2 linked regions of the Mytilus edulis genome follow. The main gene of each other region encodes a partner of the protein of the gene in region 2 in a complex. Links are inferred from orthologs where the notes say so. Each region holds a gene or a part of one and is shown on either strand. Other genes may lie near its edges. The genes, in order: RNA polymerase I-specific transcription initiation factor RRN3-like and DNA-directed RNA polymerase I subunit RPA2-like.

Evidence for each region.
Region 1: DNA-directed RNA polymerase I subunit RPA2-like (region 2) and RNA polymerase I-specific transcription initiation factor RRN3-like share a complex: the UniProt entries of both Homo sapiens proteins name them as parts of the pol I pre-initiation complex. The link is inferred for Mytilus edulis from reciprocal best matches to the Homo sapiens genes POLR1B and RRN3.

What each region holds. Positions count from the first base shown.
Region 1 is NC_092352.1:27,404,508-27,408,444, reverse strand, and holds the start of RNA polymerase I-specific transcription initiation factor RRN3-like, read right to left. Parts: upstream 2,363-3,937; 5' UTR 2,286-2,362; intron 1-2,285. Other genes in the region: coilin-like, read left to right, coding at 2,363-2,619. UniProt on the Homo sapiens protein: Required for efficient transcription initiation by RNA polymerase I (Pol I). Required for the formation of the competent pre-initiation complex (PIC).
Region 2 is NC_092345.1:94,834,669-94,838,605, forward strand, and holds the start of DNA-directed RNA polymerase I subunit RPA2-like, read right to left. Parts: upstream 2,432-3,937; 5' UTR 2,359-2,431; coding exon 2,272-2,358; exon of another isoform or gene 1,845-2,271; intron 387-1,844; exon of another isoform or gene 1-386. UniProt on the Homo sapiens protein: Catalytic core component of RNA polymerase I (Pol I), a DNA-dependent RNA polymerase which synthesizes ribosomal RNA precursors using the four ribonucleoside triphosphates as substrates.

The sequences.
Region 1 (3,937 bases), on a different chromosome or scaffold from region 2:
TAGAGACATTTTTAACGGTGTTTATACATGATTAAAAACAAAAAAAATGAAAATAAGACCAACGATCTAGAGCAAAAAAAAAAAACACAGAAAAAGTAAGACTGAGCGACACGAAAAAGCAAAAGTAATTTAAAGTCCAATATTGTTGTTGAAAAATTAATGGACATATCGTATTAAAAAAAAACTCCGCAGGAACAGATGATACAAATGTAGTCTTCTTTGTAGGACTTTATATGTAAATATTTTTTATTTTATTGGAATTTGGTTCATCAGAGACATGTCTCTGGATTCATAAACACTTACACAAACAACAATTATGATAGGTTATTTGTAGAAACGGCGGTCGGTAATTCATTGTTTAATAAACACAAAAAAAAGGAGAAGCAAGCTATGTTTGTAGTACATTTGTCTTATGTTTATAAAAGGTAATAACAAAATACTGCATTCCACCTCAAATCTAAACTTTTCAATAGGCGTTTAAGATTCATCCGAGTAATTGCGAGTACTCAAGTATCATGACCGAGTATCCGAGTATTAAATTTCAAATCTTTTGACATCCCTAATAATTTGTCATTATTGAGCAGTTGTTGAGCAGCAGAATATGTACATGTCAACTTAATCGTTTTAAAGTACTCGAAACAAGAAATATGAAAACGGATATTTGAAACAGGAAGTTTTGAATGAAACGAAGTTATTGACAGTTACCGGTAACGGAAATGAAAAAAAAACGGAAATCGTAAATTTTTCAAAATAAAAAATTGGGGAAGGACGATTTCAGAGGGGCAAGCGGGGATTAAAATCGATCAATTAATTTTAATCAGCCTAACTGGATACCATAAGAAGAAGAGATAATGTCTGACGCGTTACAAAGGAAAAGTGATTGCTTGTTTGACCATGTGTTGACTTGACTGCGAAAGTGTCATAATTTCTTATTTCAATAGGCTATTTGCCAATTTCCGTAATTGACCCTGTAATTAGAGATCCCTAATGAGGGACATTAATTTTTATTTACAATGGAGAGCTAGCAGAAAGAGCAAATCTATCTGTGCGTAATGTGAGTAATTTATAAGGTTTTTAAATCTTTTAATAACATTAATTTGTTGTTTAACTAAATACCATTGACTTCAGAAATTATTTTTCGTGAAAAATTAGTTAAACCGCCGATACATCACTTTCAATTTATCATGCTTTGCATTGGTTAAAGTCAATTTTGTCTGGTATCGAATAAGTCAATTTATTAACAATCAATTTGCCAAATACACAAAGTATTAATCAACTATTAGCGGCGTATATAAAGGAAACAAACCGTTTTAGTGGATAATTTAATACAAATTTCTTTTAATTTTTAATATTTTTTAATTTTTCATGCCATTTTGATAATCTAATTAACCATTTTTTTTCAATAACAGTAGAAAATTCAATAAAAAAAAAAATTCGGGAAAATTTCCCGAATTTTTCATTGTATACTAATGAACTCAAAATCGTTCAATTTTTTTTTTGTCGTGTTTTGAAATCCCGGACCTGCGCAGAAATGTACAATGTACTTCCTTTTTCCGGTCTCGTTTGTATGAAACTTTGAGTAAAATATATATTTATCAGTCTAGTATAAAATAGGAAGGAACGCGCAATACCAATTTCATTTTTAATAATTCCTTGATATGAAAAAACGTTACCTGATGATAGCGTTTCTTTGTTTACATTGCATATGACGTCATAATTTAAATAACGTCACAACTAAAATCCCTAACAACAGAACCAAAATCGGAAACGTTCCGGTATTTCCGTTTCTTTTTTTTAACAAATATTTAAGTTACAAAAAAATAATTCATACAGACTTCGTCCCCATTTACAGGTAATGCCTGCCTCATATTATTTTTAAAGCGCCACCTACAATATCTAAGTACAAAGGAGAAACTACATTAGTGATAATTATTTTACAAGAGAGGATAATTCACAAGAGAGATTACTCTGTGATCACGACAAAGATTGAAGATTGAAGAATAAGTCTACGATTCTTTCTTTTTCGTCTTTCCTTGTACATTATCTTGGTAGAATATGTTGTCTATAATCCTAAAAGGGATTTAGCAAGTCCATCATTACTGACAATAATTTAAATAATCAGTACGTATGTATGTCAACAAATTTAAATTATGCCAAATTATGTTTTTTTTCTGTTATAATAATTCATAATTTTTGTGATTTAGAATGTATTTCGTTAAGAAAGCATAACACTATATCTTCTGAAACGACGAGTGTTTGAATTTACGTGACTTATTTGAAATTACCTGTCACACTTTTTAAAATCGTGCTGTTGATGTAATGATCTTCTGCATTGGAGGCGAGTTATACCCTAGAAATCAAGATGGCTGCGCCCATGGCCACACACGTTCGAATTAAAGTGTATTTTGAAAACAACGAGTTTGATGCTTCATGGTTATTAATCGATACAGGTGATCTCCGGACAATGAAAGATGTACAGCGACATATATCCTTGAAATTTCTTGGAAAAGCTGTCCCTCTGTATTTATCTTTACAAGGATGTTTACTTCCAGATTGGGAGAAGTCAGTTATTTTAAGAGACAATGATTGTGTTAATGCAAAGTGTATCCATCAAGATAGGTAAATTTTAGGTAGAAAAGGAAGTGACTATTATTTTAATTGATAGCAGGCAATTCTGAGAGAAGATTGCAATCATTAATTTATAATACTTTGTCATGAAATATTTGCCACTGGACGTTAAGCAAGCAACAATTAATCTAATGTATCCGGAGATCCTGATTCTACATACAAAATCATCTATTCTCCACCGGGACTCAAACACGAGACCTCCTTCTTCCCAGGCAGCATGTTATGGTTCATGTGGACCATGTGGACCCTGTGGCTAAAATGGCTGCATTTTCACCTCAAAATTTACTCTGAGTACAGACAAACCTGTGCATCTGGAAACGTTTTAAGGCAAAGCATGCCCTAGATGAATAGACTTCAAATGCATTGTATGATTTAGAAAATTCATAACTTAACTGGATTTTGCAGTGCAGTACTGAGATAAATTAATTGGTACTTCCTTAGCTCAACCGCTTACGGCTAACTAAGTATCTACCACATAATCCTGAAACACTTCCCCCACCTCAAGAGTCATCATACCATAATGACTCTCACACAAAATAAATGTACCCAAGCTAGAATTCCCCTCTTACCACCATGTTTTTTTCTAGTTTGGCGCCAATTAGAGCATGATTCTACATACAAACATGTACTAAAAAATCTTGTCTCTACCAGGACTAGAAACCCAAGACCTCTGTGTTACCAGGCAGCGTGTTAACTGACTGGGCTAAAAAAGTACTTCCTTATCTCAATCGCTTACAGCTTACTAAGTATCTAGCACACCTTCTAAGGGAAGAATTCATATGAGGCAGGAAGACTTGTTGGAGTGTTGCTGCACACAACAGTAGCTTTTATGACACTGCTTTCATGTAAATTCGGGCCAAGTAGATTCATCCAAAGTTGTTCCAGTTCAAGTTCATTCTGCCCTCATATAGGACAGCTAGTAGAAATGCCCTGTACTATGTGTACCGTCGGACATCAAATAGTAATTTTCGGCTACCTTAAGTGTCGAAATTGGTTAACATTTAATCATGATCCAGTTTGTTTAAATATTGCTATTGTTTATATTCATCAGAGGTCTCAAAGGTTTGTTATCAATCTTTTTGTTTAACAGGTGTAAAGATTGTTCTCAATCTTTCATACAATTAGTCTATAGTCTCTGGACATTTATTCTATGCAATAGTTAAATTACCTTTGCCAGATATTCAAACAAAATTACAACTAAACCATTGTAAAGGCATGTGATTACATTGTTTAAATGTATTACTATACATGGATCTCCATGGCCTGTTTAACGATGGCGCCCCGCCATCGTTCAAATGTCTTGCGCCAT
Region 2 (3,937 bases):
AATTATTTGAACTAGTACAATGTACAAATGTATCTGGTGGATATTGGATAAGGCCTTCAAACTTTTTCAACTACACAGGTTAGTTTTTGAGGTATAATTACAACCATCTTTTTCCATTTGTAATGACGAACCTGTATATAAACTTTTATATGGGGAAGAAGTCCCCTATTAAAGTAGAAAAATCAATAATTTATTATTTTTTTTTTTTAATTTTGGGAAAATTCGTTCAAATATTTTTGTCGCTTTCTTTAATTCCCGCATTTGCGCAGAACGCAGAAATCTACTTCCTTCTTCCGGTCTTGTTGTCGTGAGACTTTGAGTAGTCTAGTAAAATATAGGAACTCAAGGAACACAATGCCAATATTTCATTTTTAATAATTCTTTGTCTTTGATATGAATTAACGTTACCTGATGCATTGTGTTTCTTTGTTTACATTGAACATTTATAGTAGAACTAATTGCCGTATTTGAATATCAAAAATAAGACAACGCGTGACCGAACGACGCATGGATTAAACGAGTGATTACGGCAAATACGGCGATTAGTTATTCTTTTTATTACATTGGCAAATGTTTTTTTTTTATGAAATTAATGTGGAAAATGTAAGGAACAAGGGTCCGGAAACGGTCATATTTGCCAGTCATGTCCTAAACTGAAACTATAATGTCCTAAACTTTTAATTGGGATTTAGGTCAAATTTTATTTTTCAACCGTAATAATTTCGGTCATTTCGTTGAGATCAGCTTTCAAAATCGCCATTTTGAACATATTTTTGTTTTGTTATCGACTTCCTGTAATTAAACTGCCACTTCATTAAAGTGTTATAATCCTGAGGGCCCTCCTAATAACTATATTAATGCCTCGGGGAGCTATTGGCTAATGATTGCTAATCTCTTTACCTGTGTTTTTAATTCACACCTGGCAATTAATCACAAGCTCCAAACTATTATTATAAAGAAATAAAAATTCCATACCAACTGGCTTCATTATTTAATTACTCAACAGGTCAGACAATTGTCAATTATGATTTAAAATTAAATTAAAACTTGGTTTAATTTCATAGAAAAAAATATTTTTTTTACTTCTAACACACGTGCTTTGTTTACTATGTAATACGCATGTTTGAAATTCTCTTCCACAGATTTAGACAATTAATTGTAAATATAAAATAATTTCATCCTAAATAAAGCTAGTGCAACTATTTTAATTAATATTCTTACACTATTAAAGGTAAAATATTAAAAAGCCGATGATTTCCTGTGATTTGGATAAACAAAACTAATCCCGGAAATGAGTCCGGAATTGTTCGTTTTAGTATTGTCGCAGTACATCCGGTTTGAATTTTGACTTCAGAATCAAAGGAAACGTAAGCAATAACTGAGAATATTATCGTTTTGAGTCATTAAAATCATTTTATTTATAAACTGTTGCCTTCCCTTAATTGCTCTTAAACGATTTTTGGAAAATGGTAGGACAAATCATGAAGTAAATGCGATGCAACAGTGAAACAAGTTTGTTGATGCTACGAACATGACGATCGAGTATGAGCATACTCATAATGAGTCTCATGCAGTAATGTGATTTTGACAATCATTTTTTGAAAAGGGGCATCAACTTTTAAGTTGTATGAAAATGACCGAAATTAGGTGAAAAAATTTCCGGATCCTTGGTAAGGAACTATATCTTTTTCCTACGCATTGACAATTTGTTTTGATCCGACGTTATCGACGTCTTGACAACGCCTATTGTTGTATGACATCAGAGAGTGAAATAACCCCGTTTATTTCACATGTGAAATTATCGGTTTTTATCTAACTGGGGAATCAATGTAATTCATTACAACCAATGTAATAAGACGTCATAACTTAAATAACGTCACAAGTAAAATACCTAACAACAGAACCAAAATCGGAAACGTTACAGTATTTCCGTTTCTTTTTTTTTAACAACTTCGTCCCCATTCACAGGTAATGCCTGCCTCATATTATAGACAATAGACAATATTATAAAAAAAAATTATGTACTGCCACTGGTGGAAACTAGCTATAAATTTGTCTTATGCTTAAAAAATTGCACAGGTTTATCAGATTCTAGTGAAAATATGTAGGTGTTAACTCAACATTTGTTATCCATTTGTTATTTTGAAACATCAATTGACATAATTGACGTATGAAACGGTTGTTTCTGTGACTAGTGTCAGAACGACAGTAGGGGAAAAAAGGGGGGTCTACAGATCGGATATAAACAAATATATAACTTATAAGGTTTACCATATGTTGCTTATCATTAGGTCTGCCATAATCTTTATGTGTTAAATTTTTGAAACTTGGTTGTATTCGATCCCCAGTCTCTGTCATTTTGAACAAAAGTTCTTTGATTTTCTTCCCACGTGCATTTGTTGTTGTTGTCTACGTAAATATAAGGTTTGAATGTATAGAACATATTTCTGTCTTATTAAACGTTTTGATGACTAAATTAAAAAAATAATAATAGTATTACAGGGTAGGACGTAGTTTGGAATTCCGTATTTTAAAAATATTCGTCAGTTCGTCAGTTACCAAGGAGAATATCATGAACACGCATTATTGATTAATTTATTGTCTTTTACGCCACTCTCGGCACTATTGTTTTTTTTTGTGGTGGCCCGAAGAGAATCATAGATACTTGGGCACAGGACATTTTTATTGGCCCTCCCCCTTTTCCTCACAATCCGTCACTTTTTTCAGGAACATATATATATTAACTTAGTTACCCAGCTTGTTTTGTTTTTATATCACACGTGTATATGGTAAGCGGAAGAAGGGATCCCGTAGACCGCCCTACGTCACGAATCATGAATTATGCATATTCTATTTATAGGCTATTTATAAACGATTCTGAAAATACTTATTCTAAAAATAGAATATTCTCAACATGTACAGCTATTAAAAAAAACCGATTCAAAATCATTAACTTTCATGTAACACGGTGAATTTGCTTTATTTATTATTTTATCACATGAAAAAAAGAAAAATGTACCGCATTACAGTAGCATATATCATAGTACAAATATATACAGATTCCTTTTTAAGATACACATGAAACATTTCATATAGATATGATAAACAGTAGGACTTAGTGCCTTAATTATGTTGTAAAGACCTGCAAATGTCACATGCACGTGGTCCCACGGCTTTGGATATACTATGGAGTTAATAATATTTTTATTATCCGTCTAAAAGAGTATTTTTATGTAGGCAAATTGAAAAAAAGATGTAGCTTACACATGTTAAACATATATTGTTACACGTACTAAGGCTTTACAGGAGTGTGAGAGGGTGTTTAAACTGGTCTGCGTTTAAAGAAACGAATCTGTAATGTGACCCCCTGTTGTCTGACCATTCTACTATAGCTGGACGTTCTATAGGAACCATTGTTACTTGTTTACAATAAAGCTACTGTTAGGGCGTTCTACAGGATCCCCTGGTCGTTCTACATGATCCCCTGTTGTCTGAACCTTATATATCTACTACAAAACGTTCTATAGGATCCCTTATATTGTTTGTTTATCATGTATACACTAAATGACGTTCTACAGGACCCCCTGGGCAGTCTACAGCTGGGGGGGGGGGGGGGGTCTACAGGATCCCTTGTTGTCTGAATATTATATATATATATCTACTATATATAGTATAGAACGTTCTATAGGAACAAGTTTTTGGTCAGGATTCTTCCGAAAAAGCTCATACCAAATTTATGAAATATATTCCTGGTGTAAATAGAAAGTCAAGTAATATAGCTGTAATGTCAGAGATTGGTAGATTTCCTATGTATTTTACTATAATTTTATCAATGTTAAAATATTGTCATAGACTGGAACGTTTGAAAGAAGGATGATTATTTGATGCATTTATATGTTGTAAACATACAGTTACAAAGTTCTAATGTAAATACATG